2 linked regions of the Notamacropus eugenii genome follow. The protein of the gene in region 2 interacts with the protein of the main gene of each other region in a pairwise test. Links are inferred from orthologs where the notes say so. Each region holds a gene or a part of one and is shown on either strand. Other genes may lie near its edges.

Evidence for each region.
Region 1: the proteins of NUDT18 (region 2) and GLUL interact in a two-hybrid assay, tested with the Homo sapiens proteins (2 studies listed by BioGRID and IntAct). The two-hybrid records come from large-scale screens. The link is inferred for Notamacropus eugenii from reciprocal best matches to the Homo sapiens genes NUDT18 and GLUL.

The regions. Positions count from the first base shown.
Region 1 is NC_092873.1:462,941,852-462,952,006, reverse strand, and holds the start of GLUL (glutamine synthetase), read right to left. Parts: upstream 3,950-10,155; 5' UTR 3,591-3,949; coding exon 3,367-3,590; intron 1,728-3,366; coding exon 1,549-1,727; intron 287-1,548; coding exon 125-286; intron 1-124. UniProt on the Homo sapiens protein: Glutamine synthetase that catalyzes the ATP-dependent conversion of glutamate and ammonia to glutamine.
Region 2 is NC_092872.1:612,588,430-612,598,670, reverse strand, and holds the start of NUDT18 (8-oxo-dGDP phosphatase NUDT18), read right to left. Parts: upstream 4,350-10,241; 5' UTR 4,145-4,349; coding exon of another isoform or gene 4,097-4,144; 5' UTR 3,709-4,096; coding exon 3,547-3,708; intron 3,541-3,546; exon of another isoform or gene 3,151-3,540; intron 3,145-3,150; exon of another isoform or gene 2,662-3,144; intron 1,798-2,661; exon of another isoform or gene 1,745-1,797; intron 1-1,744. Other genes in the region: uncharacterized protein, read left to right, coding at 4,097-4,144, 4,350-5,055. UniProt on the Homo sapiens protein: Mediates the hydrolysis of oxidized nucleoside diphosphate derivatives. Hydrolyzes 8-oxo-7,8-dihydroguanine (8-oxo-Gua)-containing deoxyribo- and ribonucleoside diphosphates to the monophosphates. Hydrolyzes 8-oxo-dGDP and 8-oxo-GDP with the same efficiencies.

The DNA.
Region 1 (10,155 bases), on a different chromosome or scaffold from region 2:
TGCTCTCCAAGAGCAAGAGTTTATTAATCACTATACCTTGCTAAAATCCAAATCATTCTGAATGGGGAGGAGAGGGGGCTTCCCCTCATTCCCTGTCAGATGAGAAAAAATAACTAATCCTTACCTGCAGGCTTGCGGTTATACTTGAAAACTTCACAGAAAACCAGTTTGTTGGGGTCCTTTCGGAAGGGGTCTCGGAACATAGCAGCAGGAATAAGGTACATGTCACTGTTAGAGCCTTCGGACTGAAAAGTGCTAGAGCCATCAAAATTCCATTCAGGTAGTTCTGGGAGGAATAGGGAGAGAAGAGGTAGGAGGTAAGACAATCAATTCCATTAAAAGATGTACGTTTTTCAGTCTGGATTATTATTCCCAACCTTCCCACCTAATTGTTTCTTTTTTCCCCGTAGAAAGAATGAATTCTTGTGATAAGAGAAAAAAGAGAAAGACAAGAGATTAACCAGGAAGAGTTCTTACTAGTCACAGATTTAGACCTGGAAGGGCCAGAGATCAACTAATCCAACCTCCTCATGTTACAGATGAGGAAAATGATCTTCAAAGGAAAGCTATTACCCCAATGTCTACACAAGTAGGTAAGGGAAACAGTATATTCAACCTCAGGCACTCTTATGATTCCAAAACCAGAGCCTTCAGTAAAAAACTTTGCTCAAAGTACAAATAATTTAAGTACTTTAACTGTAAGTAATTTAGTCATTTTTCAGTTGTGTCTGACTCTTCATGACTCCTGTTGGGGTTTTCCTTGCAAAGATACTGGAGTGGTACTGTCATTTCCTTCTCTGGCTCCTTTTACAGGTGAGGAAACTGAGGCCAACATGGTAAGTGACTTGTTGTCCAGGGTCACAAAGCTAGTAAGTGTCCCAAGTCTTCCTGCCTCTAGGCCAGTGTTCTAGCCACTGAGCCACCTAGCTGCCCTAATTTATAAATTACAAAGGTTTTTACTATTTTATACTTTGCCCAAGTGTCTTTCCCCCTTACCATTCACCCTATTCTTCCTCAGTAAGAAAAATTATATTCTAAGGTAGTTGGAGTCACTATCCTATTCTCATTCTGTACATTCTGATCTTGTACAAGCCACTTAACATCTAAAACTCCTCATGTGTAAAAAAGGTTTAACTATACCTGCTTCACAGGCTAAAATGACATGAATATAAAGCACTTAGCAATCTTAAAGGTCTGCAGATGCCAACTATTATTAGGACTGCCCTTGGATTTGCACAGGAAGCAAACTGAAGGTGAGACCAATTCACCAGGATCAGAGATTTTTAATTACTAATATAGTGTTAGTAGCCAATGGAGTGGGTCAACTCTTCTCTTGCAGATTTTGATTTAAATAAGAGGCCCCCATTCTTTTGTCTTCAATTGGAATACAATAAAAATTAATCTGGTAGGAATTAGGCTAAGGGTAGCATAGGTTTTGCTCAAGTGTTCAGAGTCTGATATACACAATACAAAACAGTCAAAGGTAAATGCTTTGGACAGAAGAAACATGGAAAGAAAGGGTAGCTGCAGGGATGGATTTCCTCTTACCATCAATGCTCTTCGGTTCACTGTCTAGGGTCCGAGTCTTACAGCGAAGTCCCTCACCAGTGCCATCGATCCAAACATACATGGCCAGGACTTTGTTCCCTTGAGGCAGGTTCAGGTACATCTGCTTGATATTTTTGTTCAAGTGAGAACTGGCTGAGGTGGCCATGTTGGAAGTTGACCTGGTTAAAGAGAGGGAAGAGAAGACGACAGGAAGGGAGGTAAAAAGAAAGAAAACATGAGAACACTGACCCCAAGCTGATCTGTTGCTAGGATTCCTCAGAAAAGCAGATTTACCCAGACAGGTAAATCATATCCAAAGCATTAACTCCCAAGCTTTCAGTCAATTAGTCTTTCAAATATTTGTTAAATGAATAAAGCAAAGTACTAAGGTAGGTCTTAGGGACATAAAAGACAAAACCAAAACAGCCCCTACTCCGAGCTTCTTTAATTGGGATTACAGGTGTACACAGAATAATGGAACATATATAGTAAATCAAAGAACACACTGGCAGCTGGGTGGATGGAAATCAAGGAAGGCTTCAGAGATGGTAGCTCCCTGCATAGAGATACACAGATGTTTGAATCAGTTATCAATTATGCCGCTTCTCTCAGGCATTAACAAAGCCACAAATTCTCTAAATACCTAACAGAAAAGGGAGGTGTGCCTGGAGAAAAACTTTAAAAATTAGAAGGCCAGCAGGTTTCCAAAGGAAGGATCAATAAATGGAAAGGCTTATAGTGCCTTATATGTACCCAACGGTACAGATAGTTTATTGACCCATTACACAGCTTTTAAGACAGGGAGATGGCATTTTTCTTCATTCCACTGAAGTAGTGAAGGAGCAACCATCAGATTTAAAAGTTGGGATCAAATCCAAATCTACCAACCCACATCCTGCCCCCACTAGGGCTAACTTCAAATCAGTCAGGAAAACTCCCATGTCCAGAACATGGGTCAAGTATTAGTCTAATCAAAAGATGAAGGAGTCCTGAAAAACCAGAGAGCACCCAAGCATACAGTTCAAGCTTCTTTTAAAGAAATCTCCCAAATCAAGGGAGAAAATACAATTAGAAGGGCAGAGTGGTTGGTGAGATCTACCAAAGATAACTTTGAACACAGAAGCAACAGTTTCCATAGGTAACCACAACCCAGTTCCCACTTACTCAGTCAAGACTTTGGGGGGAAATTCACATGGTCGGGTCAATACCTCAACTGCTTCTCCAACAATACCAGGGAAATTCCATTTCTCCTTGGACTCTTTCCAGGAGACCTCCCTTCCACTAACTTACCAAGTCTAGTCCTATTCACTGAATGACCCTTAACTCACTTGAGTACCTCAAAAGACCTCAGCCTAAAAGGGCAAGGGTGTCCCACTGCTTCCTTGGCCATCTCTAGTCATCCTGAGGTCTGTCTGGTCACCAGAAACAGATGACTCTGGAGGAGAAAGTGAGGCTGGTGACCTTGCACAGAACCTCACTCAAATCAAAGTCTACTGCAAGTCATGTCAACATTTCGCTGATGCCACGGTCCTCTTCAAAAAAGAAAGGAAAAAAACACAAGTCTAGTCAATTCATCCCGGGGCACTTTTTTTTAAAGACAAAGTATACTTCCTCTATTGGCCAAGGAGTTTTTCCTTCAGCGTTTTAACCTCAGGCTAAACCACATTAGGCAGGAACACCTGTAGGGCCTTAAAAGTGGTCTGGGGTGGAAGCTGCTGCTTTCCCGAATTTTTTCTCTCTTCTTTCTTCGAGATCACCGCCCCCCCGCCCCCCCCCCCCCCCCCCCCCCCCCCCCGTCTCCTCCTCTTCTCCACTCACCCCGGCCATTGTGGGATAAGGAAATCGATCTGATTAGGCCTACGCTTCAACCGTCTCTTTTTCAGCTTCTGCCCATGCCTTTCCTCATAGTCGCTGGTCTCATACTGATCGCTGTGATTTCGCTTTTCCCCCTTTCCCCTCCGGGCCCGAGGAGAAGAGGATCGTGAAACCAGGTGCGGGGATATCGATCGAGGAGAAATAGTCTGGGAGGAAACTGCCTTCATAATCACTAAAGGGGTCCCCTCTGACTTCAACGTCCGAGGAATATAGGAGCTGTACGAGGAGGCGGATGACCCCGAGTCTTCTGGGCTTTCCACCCTTTTCTCCCTCCCTTTACCCCTCGCTTCTTTCCCTTCCAGTGGTTGGCAAGGAGATGGACCCCCTGCCCCCCACCCCCCGCCCCTCCCCTCCAGCTCCTGATTTTACGATCTTACAGAGAGAGAACTGTAAGAAGGAGCATGCCCCTCCTTAGAGAAGAGGGTGCCGGGGGGAGGGTGAGGCAGCCAGGCAGAATGTAAAAGAGGCCAGGCCGGCTGCCTTCTGTCTCTGGCCTCTTCCAGTCTCCGCCGACTCTCAAGGTAACGCAGCAGCTCGGGAGGTCCCATTGTTTGGTCACAAATGGAAGCCTCGAATTGCCCCGGAATTTCTCCGGGACCTATCCCGCGGTTGCAAGCCGCCGAGGTGGTGCACAAGTAACTGAGCTGTGACCAGGCCGGCCACTCCCTTTCCAATAAAATTTTAGAACAAAATCCCGAAAAGCTTTCTCCTCCCCTCCTCCTAGAAGAACGCGAAACCCCAAACACAATCTCTGGGTTTCACTCCCACAAAGAAGATCAAACAGAAACGTCGCAATCCCAGTCCGGATACTCAAACATTGGACCCCAACGTCTAAAAGCACTGTGCATGCGGGGGCGACCATCGAAAAGGCCCTTGGGGAGGTCCTGAGGACACCAAGAAAAACAATCCTCTTCCCCCTCCTACCCCCGCCCAAGTCTTTCCATAGAGCGCCCAGCATCAGCACAATCCTTGGAAACAAGAAGGCATTCTTGCACGCTTCGGGGCGACTTGTGCACCAAGGAGGGAGGCGTAAGGGGGAAGAAGAAAGACCTCGGGGCTCGGGCGGGGAGGCGGGGTTGGGAAAAGACAAGTTTTGAAAAACATCCTTTGCGGGGTCCCTCCCCGCCCCTCTAGAGAGGGCTCGGGGTGGGCTGGGTGGTTACCTGGGTCTTGTAAGACGCGGAAATCAGCTGTCAAGGTGGAGGGCACAGGCCGATCGCTCCGCGGGCTCGCTGGCTGGCGGGGCTGGTCGGAGACTCTAGGGGGTGGCCGTGCAGATGGCTCCGGTGGCTACAGAACAGTCAGCCGCTTCCATCCTCGGCTCTGCCCGGTTCGCCAGCCCGCTTAGCTCCATTTATTCCCCGCGCAGGGCCGGCCCCCGCCAGCCCTGATTGGCTTCCCGCAGCCCAGCGCCCGACCTGCTCAGCTGATGAGGGGCGAAACGGTCCAGGCCATTGGGCAGGGGGTGGTGCCTGCCCAGGGGGCGGAGAAGAAAGAAAGGGAAGTGGGGGATGGGGCGGGCTGGGTGGGAGAAGAAGAGAGAGAAAGCAGGGCCGGGGGTGGGGAGGGTCATCCGATCCAGCTCGCGCCTGGCCCGCCCGGGGAGAACCCCGCCCACTGCAGCTGAGAGAGAGAGAGGGAGAGGGAGAGAGAGAGAGAGGAGAGAAAAACAACCTCGGCTGCCCGGACCAGGGACTTCCCTCCAGCTGCTGCCGCAGCCCGACCCCTGCCAGGCAATCAGCATATTGTGTTCTCTCCCCCCACCCCCTTTTCCGCGGAACGCAAAGCTCAAGAACCTGGCGCAGTGTGGGGTAGCTGGGCCGCGCCCTCCTTCACCCCTGTTTTTGCCAAATCGCCCACTCCGCTCTGCACCCGGGAGCGTCTGTGCAACTTCTGTGAGACCTCCGATTACGCCTCCCGCTCTGGGGCTCTCCACCCCCCAAGAACCGGGGCAGGGTTGAAATGAGCCGAGAACTTCCCCACCCTTCCAGCAGAATTGTGCTGTGCAGATGCTGCCCCCACCACGAGGGAGGCATTTGCTTCAAGCGCTTTCTTTGCGGTTTCAGCTCTTCCCCTTTAAATTGGAGAGAGACACAGGCCCAGGAAGGAGATAGGGTAAAGGTGTGAGACTTGGCTGGGTGGCAGCCCGTACGGACGAGCAAGCCTGGGGGAGGAGGGATAGAGACCAGAATAAATCCACAGGGATTCCTAAAGCCTGGAGGTTGTGGGTTGATTGGTTTGTTTCTCTCCCAAATGTTCTTGGAAAGTGACCAGCCCAGCCCTTTCAAAATGTGCATGAATGTTTTCAGAAAAACGAGGAGCCGACGCTCCAAGCATGGAGGGGAATTTCCTCTTGCCCCATTTTCACTCCTAATTTCATTGATTCTGAGCCCCTAAAATTCTCTCTGTAAAATGGGGATAATAACTTCTCCAAAGTACCTACCTCACTAGTGTGTGAAAGCCCTTTGAAAAGTACACAATCTGTAAAAGTGCAAGAAGTGCTATTTGATATATTAACCAAATGAATGGTACTGTTACGTAGTCACTAGAAACCCAATTGATCATTAATAGCAATTCATCTTTAGGAAGTTTTAAGACTTGGCAAACCACTTGCTCAAGGAGCTTGAAGAAAGTAGAATTTTGCCCTGACTTCTTGATTTGGAAGAAAAAAACGGGGAAACATTTCCGCTGAATGTCCAAGCCATGCAAGAGAAATCTGTCCTGTGAGGGACCACAGGCACCCATACTTGACCTCTCTGAGTCCTCAGAATCACCATTCCCTAAAATGCGGATAAGAATTCATTTTAAAAGTTGTTAAAGTAACATACCTTGTGTACATTTAAAATAGGATTGTTCAGTACTTGAGAAGTTCGGAAAAAGCAAATAAATGCAAGGGAAGGAAGTGAAAGGATCTAAGAGCTAAGAATTTTTAGTCGTGTTTGAGTGTAGAGCTCTGTGTGGCCTTAATAGAGGGGAAAGTGCTACTATTCTCCAAATCAGGAGACCTGAATTCAGTTTTCTCCTCTTCTAATTCTTTTCCTATGTGACCTTGATTAAGTTATGCAACTCTTCTGGGTCTCAGTTTTCCTCAACTATAAAATAAGGGAGTTGAATTAAAAGGTCCCTTCCAAATTTGACATTTTACTTTTCTGTGAGGGGAAATGAGGAGATTCTAAAAAACAAACAAAAGCAAACAAAAAAAAAATGATGAAACTTTGGAATGTTCAGTTCTTGAAAGAGGAGGCCAAAGAGTTTTATTTGTTTTGCTTTACGTGTCTATAAGGACTTCAAGCCGTTAGTGAGATGATTCATTTATTCATTCATGTTAACTAGGTGCTTTTGCATTCAAAACCAAGAGAATGAAAAGGTTCCTGTCCTCCGGGAACTTATATAACATCATTAATTCCTGATGGCTTTATAAACTTTCAATACAATATCAAAATAAGTTCATCATCAATCACAATTAGCATATTGCCCATAATTATAAATTTTTAGATGCCAAAATTTGTTGTTCACTGTCAAATGTCATCATCACCGCCCACTTTAAGCACAGAGTACTACAGAGTACTTTTAATAAATCTTGGGATAAAAAGAACTAGAAGAATCAGCTCCTTAAATCAACAAGTATTTGTTTAGTACCTGCTGTGTGCCAGACACTTTTACTAAATGCTGAGTCTCCAAAAAAAGGCAAAAGGCTGACAGTCTTTGTTCTCAAACTTTGATGGGGAAACAATAGGCAAATAGCTATGTGTAAACTATGTACAAACAAGCCATGTATAAAGAGAAGGGACTAAGATAAAAGAGAACAGGAAACACTTTCTTAAAATACGATGTTACAGAGGATTTCCCAATATAATAAGGATATTAATCTATTCTTAAAGGTTTGGGGTATTTTTGTTATCTCTTTTGGTTGATTCCTGAAAGTAAAGATGAATTACACTAATCCACAGTTTGACTCATGGTATAGGGGTCCTAGGCTTTGGGGCTGCATTCCAGGACCATAGAGTGGATTGAGAATCAAACAAACCTGCTGTAGAACTGTACCTGTAACCTTTGCATCCATAGCATCGTAGCCATTTGAGTTAACCAGCCCATGCATGAGAATCCCAACCCAAACTCTAAAGAAAGCCAGTCCTAGAGAGTGTATGGAGAAGGAAAGTTTGACTGGTTTGTCTTTCTGAATCCCAAGGTAATTAGAGAAACTCAAAGCTGGCATTTTTTCCACATTTCTGCACCCACCAACAGCAGTCTGGATGTCCTTTAATCAATCTCTCTCCCCTCAGAAAAGGGATGAGGATCCCTGAACCCTTGGATTCTCCTTCTCAGCGTCTCCTGGGACATAAATACCAGTGCTCCTCTACCTTTGAGTTTTTTTCCTTTAGAGCAGAGAGAGGCAAAAGAAGCCAAATCAGGTTCCAGTTTCCATTTCAATACTCACATACCTCATATCAAGTCATTTTGCTTTTCTTGCTCCATGTCCTTAACTGTTCCAATTTTATTTTATTATTTATTTAGCATTTTATTTTTCCCCAATAACATGTAAAAACAATTTTTAACATTCATTTTTAAAACTTTGAGTTCCAAATTCTCTGCCTTCATCCCTCCCCACCCCACCCTACCCCACCCCACACTCACCCTCATTGAGAGGGCAAGCAATTAGATATAGTTTATACATGTGTAGTCATATAAAACATTTCCATAGTAGTCATGTTGTGAAAGAAAACATAGACTTTAAAAAATCCTCAAGAAAAATAAAGTTAAAAAAAAGTGTGCTTCAATCTGTATTCAGATACCATCAGTTTTCTCTTGGGATGGACAGCATTTTTCATCCTATATCTTTCAGAGTTGTTTTGGATAATTATCTTGCTGAAAATAGCTAGGTCATTCACAGTTGATAATCTTACATTATTGCTGTTACTTTGTGCACAATACATTTCACTTTGCATCAGCTCATGTAAGTCTTTTCAGGTTTTTCTAAGAGTATCCTGCTCATCATTTCTCACAATAATGTTGAATCACAGTCACACACCGAAATGTTTTCAACCATTCCCCAGATGATGGACATTCCCTCAATTTCTATTTCTTTGCTCCCCCAGAAAAGAGCTGCTATAAATATTTTTGTACATATAGGTCTTTTTTCTTTTTAATTTTTTTGGAATACAAACCTAGTAGTGGTAGTGGTAGGTCAAAGGGTATACAGGGTTTTATAGCCTTTGGCATAGTTTCTGGGTCCATTTCCTCTGCAAGGTGACAGTTTTAGACTAAATGAAGGAGGTAGGGGTGGAATGGGGAAATGAATAAGGATTTATATAGTGCTTGCCAAGTGCCAGATACTTTTTTTTTTTTTTACAAATATTACAACCCTGTTAGTAGGTGCTATTAATATTTCCATTTTATAGTTGAGGAACCTGAGGAAAACAGAGGTTAAATGGCTTGTCTAGGATTACACTGTTGGTAAATATCTTATTACAAGAAGTCAGATTTGAAAGCAGGTCCTGATTCCAGGCCTAGTGCTGTAACCACTGTGCCACCAGTTGCCAAAGGCTAAATTACTTTTTTGATCCTATTGGTTGTAAGATTCTATAATATGGGGGGGGGGAGGGGGATAAGCAGGAAGTATGTAAGGGTATGACCCTTTTATGCTCTAGCAAGGACATGGCTTGTAAGAATATAATTCAAATTGGAGGAGTGGGAGAGTAAGTTTTGTAGTTGGGGATGCTTCAGTTACAGCTCAAAACAATAGATCTAATAAAGAAATAAAAGAGTTTGTGAAATGGTGATCTCTTGCCCATGTGCACTAATCATAAAGACCAGAGTTTGAAATATAGCTCTGTTTTTACTGCTACTTACTGTGGCCTTGGGCAAGTCAAACTTTCTGGGTGTCAGCTTTCTCATTTATAAAAGGAGGGGGCTGGAGTACCTCATCTTTAAGGGACCTTCTGGTTCTAATAGTCTATGATCCAATGGCAAGCTCCCTGGGGAAGAAAGCAAGGAAAAGAAGGAAAGAAGGAAGTTAAAAAGAAGAGAAAGGAAAGAAGGTAGAAAGACAGGAAATGAAGGAAGACAGGAAGGAGAGAACTAGGAAAGGAAAGCAAAAAAGTAAAGAAGAGAGTAGGAAAAAAAATGCAATTATCAAAATATTTCTAAAAACTAGTTCACAGACCTCCTGAAATCTGTGAGAAAGTCCCCAGGTTTAGAACTCTTGCTTTAGAAAGCTAATTGCCTTTAGCAGGAAGACATTAGGTGACTTGCTCAGGCTCAAACATTTAGTATAGAGATAGGATTCGAATGCAGATTTGCCTGACTCCAAAGTCAGTCTTTTATCCACTGATTCCAACTGCATCTCTGTTAAATACAGTTAAAACTTTCCTTCCTTCCTTCCTTCCTCCCCTTCCCTCTCTAAACCTGTGTTTACATCCTCGTAGAAGGTTCCTATTGAGAAAACTCTCTCACCTTCATAGTTATCTGTAGGACTAAGAAGTTAAATGACCTTACAATCCTGGAAACTGAAGTTAAGACTTCTGTAGGGTCACAGTTAGTATGTGAAGAATTGAGCATTAACCCCTCTCTTCTTGACTGAGGCCGGCTGTTCATCCACTTCAAACACTTTACCTTCTTTATCTGAGACCTAGTTATGCCAGGCAAATTACAGGTAACATTTAGTGACTTCTCCTTTGTGCTTTGTGAGAGATCTAGGAATTTGGAGCTGGAGAGGATTTTTCAAAGGCACAG
Region 2 (10,241 bases):
AGAGAAAGAGAGAAGACCTCCCATCCCAGCTGTTGTCCATTGCCCCCCACTTGTCATTTTCAGGCATGACAAATAGCACACTGCCTTATTTTGCATCACAAAGGTCCTTACTAAGACCTCTGAGGGTTTGTCAAGCATGAAGACCTTCTCTCCTCCTATCCAGGACCTTAACAGGTGTCTCAAATACCAGAGTTGGGATGAATGTAGCAGGCAGGGAAACATCAAAGCACTATTTACTGGGTTACCCCTGCTCTTCTATGGTGTCTGAAATATTTTCACTCCCCACCATTTCAACAAGTTCTCTCTGAAAAGCAGACCTACAGGTGCCAGGATTTCAGAGCCTTATCCAGGGTTTTGGGTGTACCAGACACCAGGCCTGTGCCTTATTCCCAGTGTGCGTCTGTTCTCCCCTCCCTGCTAGATTTCAAATTATTAAGAAACATCTCAGACTTGTTTTGATGATCCTACCTCACAGAGCAGTGAAGATCAAATGAGATATGTATGTACAAGTCCACTCTGCCTTCCCTCTGGTGATCACCTCTAATTTATCCTGTCTATGCATATCCTGTCTGTCTGTACATAGTTGTTTGTAGGTTGACTCTCCCAATAGGTATGAGCTCCTTGGGAGTAAGGGACTGATTTTTTGCCTTTTTTTGTATCTCTAATGCTTACTACAGTACTTGGCACATCAGAGGTGCTTAATAAATGCTTGTCAACTGACTTTAAACCTTAGAATGCTATTCAAATGGCCAGCTGTCATCATCCTTGTTACTTTAATTCCTCAGGCCTCACAAATTCTCCCCTGCCTCAGCTCCGATGACCTCTATCACCTCTTTACCACAGCCTCTCACTTAGGTGGTCAAATCTTAGACCTTGCCATTACTTAAAACTATTTCACCTTTGAGATCATAAACTATGAATTTCCTGTCTCTGACATAAATCACTCCCACTTCTCCAGGTCTCCTTTTCATGACCTCTGGTCACCTGATTCTTTCCTCTTTCAGCCACATCCTCTTCTGACTTGTCTCCCTACACAGTCAACCACATGATCACCTCTTTCAAAGTCCCACTCTTCTTTATTCTTGAATACCTTGTCCTTTGACTTTCTGTCATTCTTGCCCTAATTTAAAATCCTAGATGAGGATGAGCTCCCTTCTCTGCTCCTATTCCTGAACTGCCTTAACAAAGTAGAAGTGATGAAAATCCCCTGATGGGGTGCTAGAAATGTATGCTAATAACCCTCAACTGGGACTTCCCTTGATTCATGGCAATTATTCTATTTATGTCTATTGATTCCAAATCACCTTCCCCTCCCCAGCTACTCCAAAACTCCTTTCTCCTCAAACCCCCCAATTCTAATCTATCCCACTCACTGTCAGTAGTTGGCCCCAATCTTAGGTGGTCATCTGCCTGAAACTTCCCTCAATTTCCCTCTTCCACACCTCAAAGTCTGTGGTAATACCCAGACCCAGGCCCAGTTCCTTTCCTCTGGTCTCTGAGGAAGAGGTGACCTCCCTTTCTGGCCACCTGGGCCCATCTCCTCCCTCCTTCTTCAGGACCTGCATCAAATGTATATTCTCCCATCTTTGGTCTCTTCCTCTTTAGTGACGCCTTTCCTTTACTTACAAACATATCCAGGTTTCTCCTAACTTAAAAACAAACAAACACCCTTCTAAATCAGCTATGCCCTCAAACTATTCTTCTTTCCTCTTTAGAAAGAATAGTTATGCACTTCTAAACTTGCCTTTTGACCATTCACTTTTTAATCTCTCTCTCTGGTGGCTCCTCTTCCAGCTCCTGAAAAACAGGGTGGGTGGAGGGAGGAGGTTCCTCACTTCTCTTTTTCCTCAGTATCTCTCCCATCTCCCAGTAACTGACTCTTCTGTCTCAATATCTATCTCTTAGTATCTGCCTCTCTCTCTCTGTCTCTCTCTCTCTGTCTCTGTCTCTCTCTCTCTCTCTCCCTCTCTCTCTCTTTCTCCTTCCCTCCCTCCCTCTCTCTCTCTCTCTCTGTCCCACCCCCATCACTGTCTCTTTCTCTTCCTTTCTCAACTCTGCCTCTCTCTCTTTCCCTCTCTTAGTATCTGCCCCTCTCTCCTCTCCTGTTTCTCTGTATCTTTCAGGATCTGCCTCTCCCCCCCTCCCCTTTCCACTCTCTGTTTCTCTCAGGATCTGCCTGTCTTTCTATAAAGTTTCCCTTGATGATTTCATCAACTTTCATGGCTCCCATTTTCACCCCAAGGCAGATGACTCCCAAATCTTTATCTCTAGATTTGATCCTCCCATGCATGCCAATCCAAGGCTTCCAATTGCCTGTGGGTACCTCCCATATCAAGATGTCCTGTCAGGACTTCAAAGTCAGTGTGTCCTAAACTGAACTCATCATCCTACCTCCAAAACCTGCCCTTCTTGATTTCTGTATTTCTGTTAATAATACTAACACCCTCCCAGTCACAAAAGACCGTAAACCTCAGTAATCTTTAGTTATTCCTCCTCCCCTTGAGGCAGCTAAGTGGTAATAGATCACTAGGTCTGCAGTCAGGAAGATCTGAGTTCAAATTTGACCTCTGGTATTTACTATGTGCGACCCTAGTCGAGTCACTTAACCTCTATCTACCGAAGTTTCCTCAACAGTAACATGAGGACAATGGTGGTACTTACCTCCCAGGGTTGTTGTGGGGATCAAACAAGACGATATTTGTAAAGTGCTTGGCACACAGCAGTGGTTTAAAAAATACCTGTTCTAATCTCCCCATGTCAGTTCAATAAACATTTATTTACCCCAATAAAATATAAGCCCCTTGAAGGCAGGATGTGTTTTGTCCTTTTATCTTTGGATAACCTCAGCATGTGGTACACAGTAGATGTTTAATAAATGCCTGTTCTCACTCTCCTCCCCCTATATCTATTCAATAAGCATTTATTTCCCCCGAGTAGAATACAAACCCCTGAGGGCAGGGACAGTTTTATCTTTTTATCTCTGTAACCCCAACATGTGGCACATAGTGGGTGCTTACTAAATCCTTCCTGAACAGCTGGACAACTGCTAAGGTTTCCCTCTTTATTCAAGACCCGGCTCATGGAGCCAGTCATGGAGCTTTCTCTAAACGTTTGGTCTGCATCTTTCCTATACGTTTATCACACTCCCACCTGCAAGTGCCGACAGGTGAGCTCCCTGAGGGTAGGGATGGTATCTTGTTTCTCCTCTCGGTCTCCTTAGCTTACGGTGAGCGAGTGTTTAATCAATAAATGGTGACTAGAATTCTCCGTGCTTGCACCCTGTGGCAGCCAGCGCGGTGCGCTGTGCCCAGCAGACACTCAGTCAATGTTTGGGGTGAATGTTAGACTTCTTTGGGTGTCACTCCTGCAGGGCACGTAATACAATGCTGAATGAAAACGGGGTCAGCACCTCGCCAATGAGGGGGGCCTCTCCTCGTCTCTCCTTCCTAAGCCCATGGGTTACATGGGCCCGGGCTCTGGGGTCCTCTATCTTGGGGTGTCTGGGGTCCCAAAGACTTTGGAGTCAGGGTCCTGGCTGCCTCTCACCTGGTCGTTGAAGAAGACAGCCAGCACGATATAGGAGACATTCTTCCTGAGCTGCACGGGCACAGGTGAGACCTTTAGCGGTACAGAGTCATAGTCCAGCACCGGCAGCCCCTGGCCCCCCAGCACGGCCCTCAGGTCCCCTGCCAGGCCTGAGGATGCCATTGGCAAGGGCGGGGGTGGAGGGTGGGGGTGGGGAGGGATGCAGGGGAGAGGCTGAGACCCAGACTGGATCACGTGGGGGGGTGTGGTTGGGGTGGAGCAGGGACTCTGGACTCAGGTGGAGCCCCAGGAACCAAGATGGAAAATTTGGGTTCAAAGGAAACGGATCCCGGGGGACACACGGGACAGACTGGAGCTAGGGGCTAAGGGCGCAGAGAGGGCAAGGTCAAGGTCAGGGTCAAGGCCAGAATCGGCCCTCGGGAAGGCTCAGGCCCAGTCGGACGAGTGGGGGGAGTTAGAGGGGGAGGGGAAATCAGGGCCTGCTCGGGTTCCCTCCTCCGGCCCCACCTCTCCCGGGAGACCCAGGCGTGCCCTCCCCACCCCCGCTGTTATGACGTTAGCCGTCCCGGCCCCTCCATTGGCCATTGGCCTTCCGGAGGTGGAGACTGTTCTTAAAGGAGCCGAGTCTGAGGAGTGACCGCTCAGACTTCCGCTTTCCCTGCTTGCGCTGCCCCCTTCGCTTCTCCCTCCGGCGGCGTGATGACGTCACCGCCCCCTGCGGATAGCAGATGACGTCACCCACAGAGGCGGGTGGGTGAGGCCTAGGACGGCTTCGGAGTGACGTCACAAAAAAGCGGTGACAGCTCCCCCTGACCTTTGCCTACCGCACCCCCGCTGTCTACTTCGCCCTCCCCCCTGCACCCCAGTCCGACGCAGCCACTGCCGCCCTCCTCCCTCGGGCACCCCTAAAGCTGCCCCCTGCATCGCCTGGCGCCCCTCAGAACTGGGTCAGTGCCTTTCCCCAGGTCGGCCCTTCGGACGCTGGGAGCCGGCTCGAGCCCGCAGCTCCGATTCCTTCCCCGCCCCCACCGCGCCCGGTAGTCCTTGGAATTTGGACGCTTGCGAACCGAACGCTTGTCTTTGTCTACCCCCAAGTCGCGGCCGCGGGGTGCCCCTGGCCTCCGAGCTCGGGGCTAGCGCTGGTCTGCCCACGCGCGCCCCCGGGGGCCGCGAGCCTTCTCACGAACAGGCGCCTGACCCCGCCACCCCCCCCGCGCCTCTGCGTGTCTGATCCTGCGAGTGGCTTTACGCGCGTCCGTGCAGCCCTGGACGTGCCGGGCAGCCTGGGGCTCTGCCGGGCCGCGTCACCGCGGAGAGCATCCCGCGGGCCGCGGGCTGGGAGGGGCGGACGGTCGTTACCTGGTCCGTTCGGCTGGTCCAGAGTCTGGCTCCCGCGCTCTCCCGGTGCGGTAGCCAGAGCGCCGGCCCGGGGTCAGGAGACCAGCCTTAAAGTCCCACCTGCTCCGTCCTCGGGACGTGAGGGGAAGAGCGCCCACCTCCCAGCGCCAGGTGAGATGGCATTTATAAAGCACCTGGCGAACTTGGAAGGGTTATTGCGATACCGGAGTGGCCCCGGGCAAGTCACTGAACTGCCTGCCTCAGTTTCCTCATCTGTAAAATGGAGGTAACGTAGCACAGACCTCTCCGGACTGTGAAGATCCAGTGGTGTAATGTTTGTGAAGGACCTTGCAGACCTTGAATTGCAGTATGAATGCTCATTCTCATGACTGCTATTAGCCTTCCGACACATCGGCTAGGGGAACCAGGACCAGTCATTTCACCTCTAGGCGCCCTTGGCAGCTGGGACTATAATAAGCCAAAGCGTTGACTTTCTTTGACATAGGGAGTTTCCTCATATTAGGGTTACTGTATCAGTGAAACCATAGCTCCGGTCCAAATGCCCTGAATAGGCTCCTGGTTCTTGTCACCCAACCACTCTCCCTTCCATCTTTATGTCATCTACAGATCTGATAAGCAAACCAGTTATACCTTCATCCAAGTCATTGATAAAAATCTGAAAACAGCACAGGGCCAAAGTCTGGGCATCCGTCAATGGCATCATCATCCATGAATGTTGGTTATACCAGAATCCCCAAATTCCCCTGTCTGACCCAAACCTCTCCACCCTTCCCCAAGCTTCACCCCTCTTAAAGTGCTCTTCCTCACCTGAGTCTGCAATGCCAGTTCTCCCATTTCCTCAGCCAGTACTGTGGCCCTATTTACCTTCTTTCCCAGTGTTCACATTAGAGTAAAACCAGTTCAACTTTATTCTGTTTTCTGCTCTCCAAATCTCTAACCACCCCCTCCACAAATACCTACATCAAGTCATTAAACTTCTCTGTCATCTGTGATATGGGGATCATAAGTGCACCTACCTCCCCAGGTTTTTGTGATGCCTCTAGGCATCTCAAACTCAACCTTTCCAAAATAGAATTCATTTTCTTTTCCCCAAATCCTCTTCTTCCAGACTTCCCTATGCACTTAGCATAGAGCTTTGTACATAGTAAGGGCTTAATAAATTCACTATTCCTTCAGTCTTAGGTGTGGGAGTGGGGGAGAGACTCACCACCATTCTTCCAGTCACCCAGGCTCTCAAATCTCAGCATATCTCCCCTTCCTCACTTTCCCTCACCCTATATATCCAGTCCATTGCCATGTCTTGTCATTTCTCACTTCTCAATATCTGTCCAGCACATCCCCTTCTTTCTACTCATGCAGCCATCCAGGCCCTCATCACCAGTCTCCTGGTAGTGGTTTCCCTGCCTCAGGTCTCTTTCCAATCCAATCCATCCTTCAATCACTGCCAAATTATTTTCATGAAATACAGGGGGCCATGTCACCCCCTTGATCAGAAAGCTGCAATGCCTCCCTATTACCTCCAGAATCAAATATAAAATCCTATGGTATTGAAAGCCTCTTACAACTTGGCCCATTGCTAACTTTCCAGTCTTCTTATACCCTACTCCCCCTCATGATCCAGAAACAATGGCCTCTTTGAAGTTATTTCCTTGAATAAGACATTCATCTCCCACCTCTGTGCCTTTGCACTGGCTGCCCCCATGCCTGGAATGCTCTTCAACTCAAATTCCACTTTCTCAATGGCCCTTCCCCCTCGCTCCCCCCCCCCCCCCCCCCCCCCCGTCAGATTACTTTCTCTCTCTCTCTCTCTCTCTCTCTCTCTCTCTCTCTCTCTCTCTCTCTCTCTCTCTCTCTCTCGTATGTACCTAGTTATTTACATCTACTCTCTCCCATTAAAATCCCATTAGATTAATCCCATTAATTACATTAATCCCATTAGAATTAGGCCCTTGAGGGAAGGGCTTGTCTCTTTTTTCTTGTCTCTCTTTTTTTTAATCTCCAGCACTTAGTACAGTGCTGGCCACCTTTCTGACCAGCTAAGTGGCACAATAGATAGAGCACTGAGTCTGGAGTCAGGAAGACCTGAGTTCAAATCCAAGTGTGTGAGCCAGCAAGTAATTTAACCTCTCACTGCCTCAGTTTCCTCATCTGTAAAATAGAAATGAAAATAGCACCAACCTTCCAGGGTTGTTGTGAGGATCAAGTAAGATAACAATTGTAAAGCACTTTGCCAACCCTAAAGTGCTATGTACAAATGCTAACTATTATTAAATAATTATTGACTCACTGATTGTGCTTACTGTATATTTTTCACATTTGCTTATCTGTATATATACATATATGTGTGCATATATGTATGTGTATATACATGTGTGCATGTGTGTATACATACACATACACACATATATATGTTCTTTCCCCACAATAAAACATAAGTTCATTAAGGTCAGAGTCTGTTTCATTTTTGTCTTTGTACTTAGCACAAAGTAGAGGCTTAACAAATGTTTTATTTATAATTTATAATAAATGTTTATTGAGTTGAGTTGTGGATATGACAAATCCCTGTAGTCAGTGGAGACAGTTCATACTGACTAGGAAAATGCTACAAACCAGGACTTGACTTCTCATTTTGTAGATTGTCCAGATTTAAGAAAGTTATGGAGAAAATGTTAATAATTCAGATTAAAACCAAAAGTGTATCCAATGTGCTTTTTCTTCTCCAAAGAAGTGTTTGTTAAATGCTAGGACATCCCTGTCTGTGGCCATTAAACTTCAGACATCAGTGCAAGCAAAGTACAGTCATTCAACCAGCTTTGTATCCACTCTACAGCACCTTTCCCATTCTACAAAATTTTTCAGAGATGATCAACCATAGCTAAGCACTCACATTACAAGTTATTTTACTCTGGGAGTAGTTCTTCTGGACCGGTGATAAAAACTCATTGAGGACAGCTCTTTTTCCCTCATTTATTTACTCATTAGCACATTTCCTCATTCACTTGTTCACTCATCTATTTAATCATTTATTCATGACTCATCAATTCTTTGCCATACTTACCCATTCACTCACCATTTGTTTGCTCATTCATTCATTCATTGAAAAAAAATTTAATCTGTTGTTAAGTAGAGCATTGTAAAGAAAGATAAAATAGATATCTGACTTTCCAGAGCTGAGACTTGAAGGATGAAGAGGTTATAAATCTTTGTTTCATTGAATTGAGTTGAATTAAATGATGGCTAAGTGAAGAAGAAGGGGAGGGTACCCAAAGAGCCCCCTAGGGTAAATGCTCAGAGCTGTGGTCCTAGTTCCTAGTCTTCCTCATCTGCGTCCACATTTTGGGGGGAATTCTTTTGGGATTTTTTTATGGGTCCACTCAGTGCCCAGGACAAAGTCTATGCCCACCACATTCTTCCCGTTCTCTTTCTGTGTTCCCCACCCCTTACCCTCAAGCATCTGATCCATCTTACCTGGTCCAGTGACCGCCAAAGGCTGCTTCTGCCTGTAAGGATTCCCATGTTCACACTTGTCTTTCTTCCCTTGGCTCTTTGCCCAGACTCTCCCTGTCTGCACTTGCATTTTGGAGCACGCTCACAACAGAGACCCTCTTCTATTCTTACTGAGGCTATAGGCTTGGGCACACAGTAGGTGTTCTGTGATGGATTCATTAATTAATAAGGGATTGCCCACCATAGAGCTCACCACCTATTCTCCATTCAGATTCTTTCAAGGCTCCCAGGGTCAACCCATTAGCCAAGAACAGGGAGTCCTGGGGCAGTGAGTCAGGACGCCTAAATTCCAGACCTATTCCACACTAATTTGCCTTGTGAGTGTTTGGGCCTCAGGTATTCCTGTCTGTAAAGTGGGGATGATGATCCCAATCTCCTCCCTGCCTCCCAGGGATGTGGTGAGAATGAATGAGATCATGTCTGGGCAGGGCATTGAGTGCCTCTGAGACAGAGGCTAAGATAAACACCTGGTTGGAAAAACCGAATGCAATAAGGAAGACATTTCCTTAGTCCTTACTTGCTTTCTTCCTTCCTTTCTCCTTTCCTTCCTTTCTTCCTTTCTTCCTTTCTCTTTCTCTTTCCCTTTCTTTCCTTCTTTCTCTTCCTTTCTTTGTCTTTCTTTTTTCTCTTTCCCCCTTTCACTTTCTTCTTTTCATCCTTCTTCCTCCTTTCTTTTTTTCTTCCTCTTCCTCTGTTTTTTTCTGTCCTTTTTCTCTTTTTTTGCTTTCTTTCCTCCTCTGTGTTCCTCTCAACTTATGGATTCACACAAACTCCTAGGTTCAAAGTGGGGTAATTTGAGGAATAAGTGTACCTTAACAGGGACTCCATCATAGTTCAACTGGGAACCTCTAAAAATTATTTAAACTCAGTTTGCATCTTACCAGCAGACTGGCCAAGGAGCATGCTTTTCAAAAGTTAAACATTTAGTCAGGACTACAGGAAAACCTATCTCAAATACCATTCTCAAATACCATATCTCAAACCATTCTCAAATAAGTAAAAATTCATTCCCACTTCTTACTTCCTACCAGAACAGCCTGGGAAAATAAATTCTCCAAGACACATGGCCCCAAAATAGGAGAATAGAAAGTGCTTTCTCTCTCTCTCTCTCTCTCTCTCTCTCTCTCTCTCTCTCTCTCTCTCTCTCTCTCTCTCTCTCTCTCCCTCTCTCTCCCCCTACACCCCTCTCTGCCTCTGTCTCTGTTTGTCTCTCCATCCCCTTTCTCCCTCTCTGTCTCTTTCAGTATCAGATTCTCTTTCTCCAAAATTTCACTTGATGAGATCATCAACTTTCATGGCTCAGTTTTTCCCCCAAGGCAGTCTCAGCACCTTCTCACAGCCCAGTTGTCTGCTCATGTTGCTCACTGGGGTCTCAGAAACATGTCAGGACTCCTGAGCTCCTGCACAGTGGTAGTACAGTCTCTCCCCATATGGCTGCACTTTTTCCTTCTACCCAGAGTTCTCTGTCACTCTCCTGAAGGAGGTTTTTTCCCTCTCCACCTCTGTAGCAAAGGCATAGCTTTTCCTGGGAAATGAAGTCCTAGGAATATCAATTAGGCTTGATGTTGAATTGAGGGTCTTATGAAAAATGTAGTCCCTTCAATCATATGTACCCCTATTAAATCCGACCCATGATAAAAATAATTTCACTCCCTACAAATCACACTTGGTGAATATATACAGTTATACTTCATAAAATATCCATTGATTTGTATGAAAAAAATCACAATTATCCCTGAGACATATCATAAGAACATATAATGTTCAGTTAATATCTCATATAGTAGACCAATCACATAAATTCCAAGCACAGAGAAATAATTTGTAGC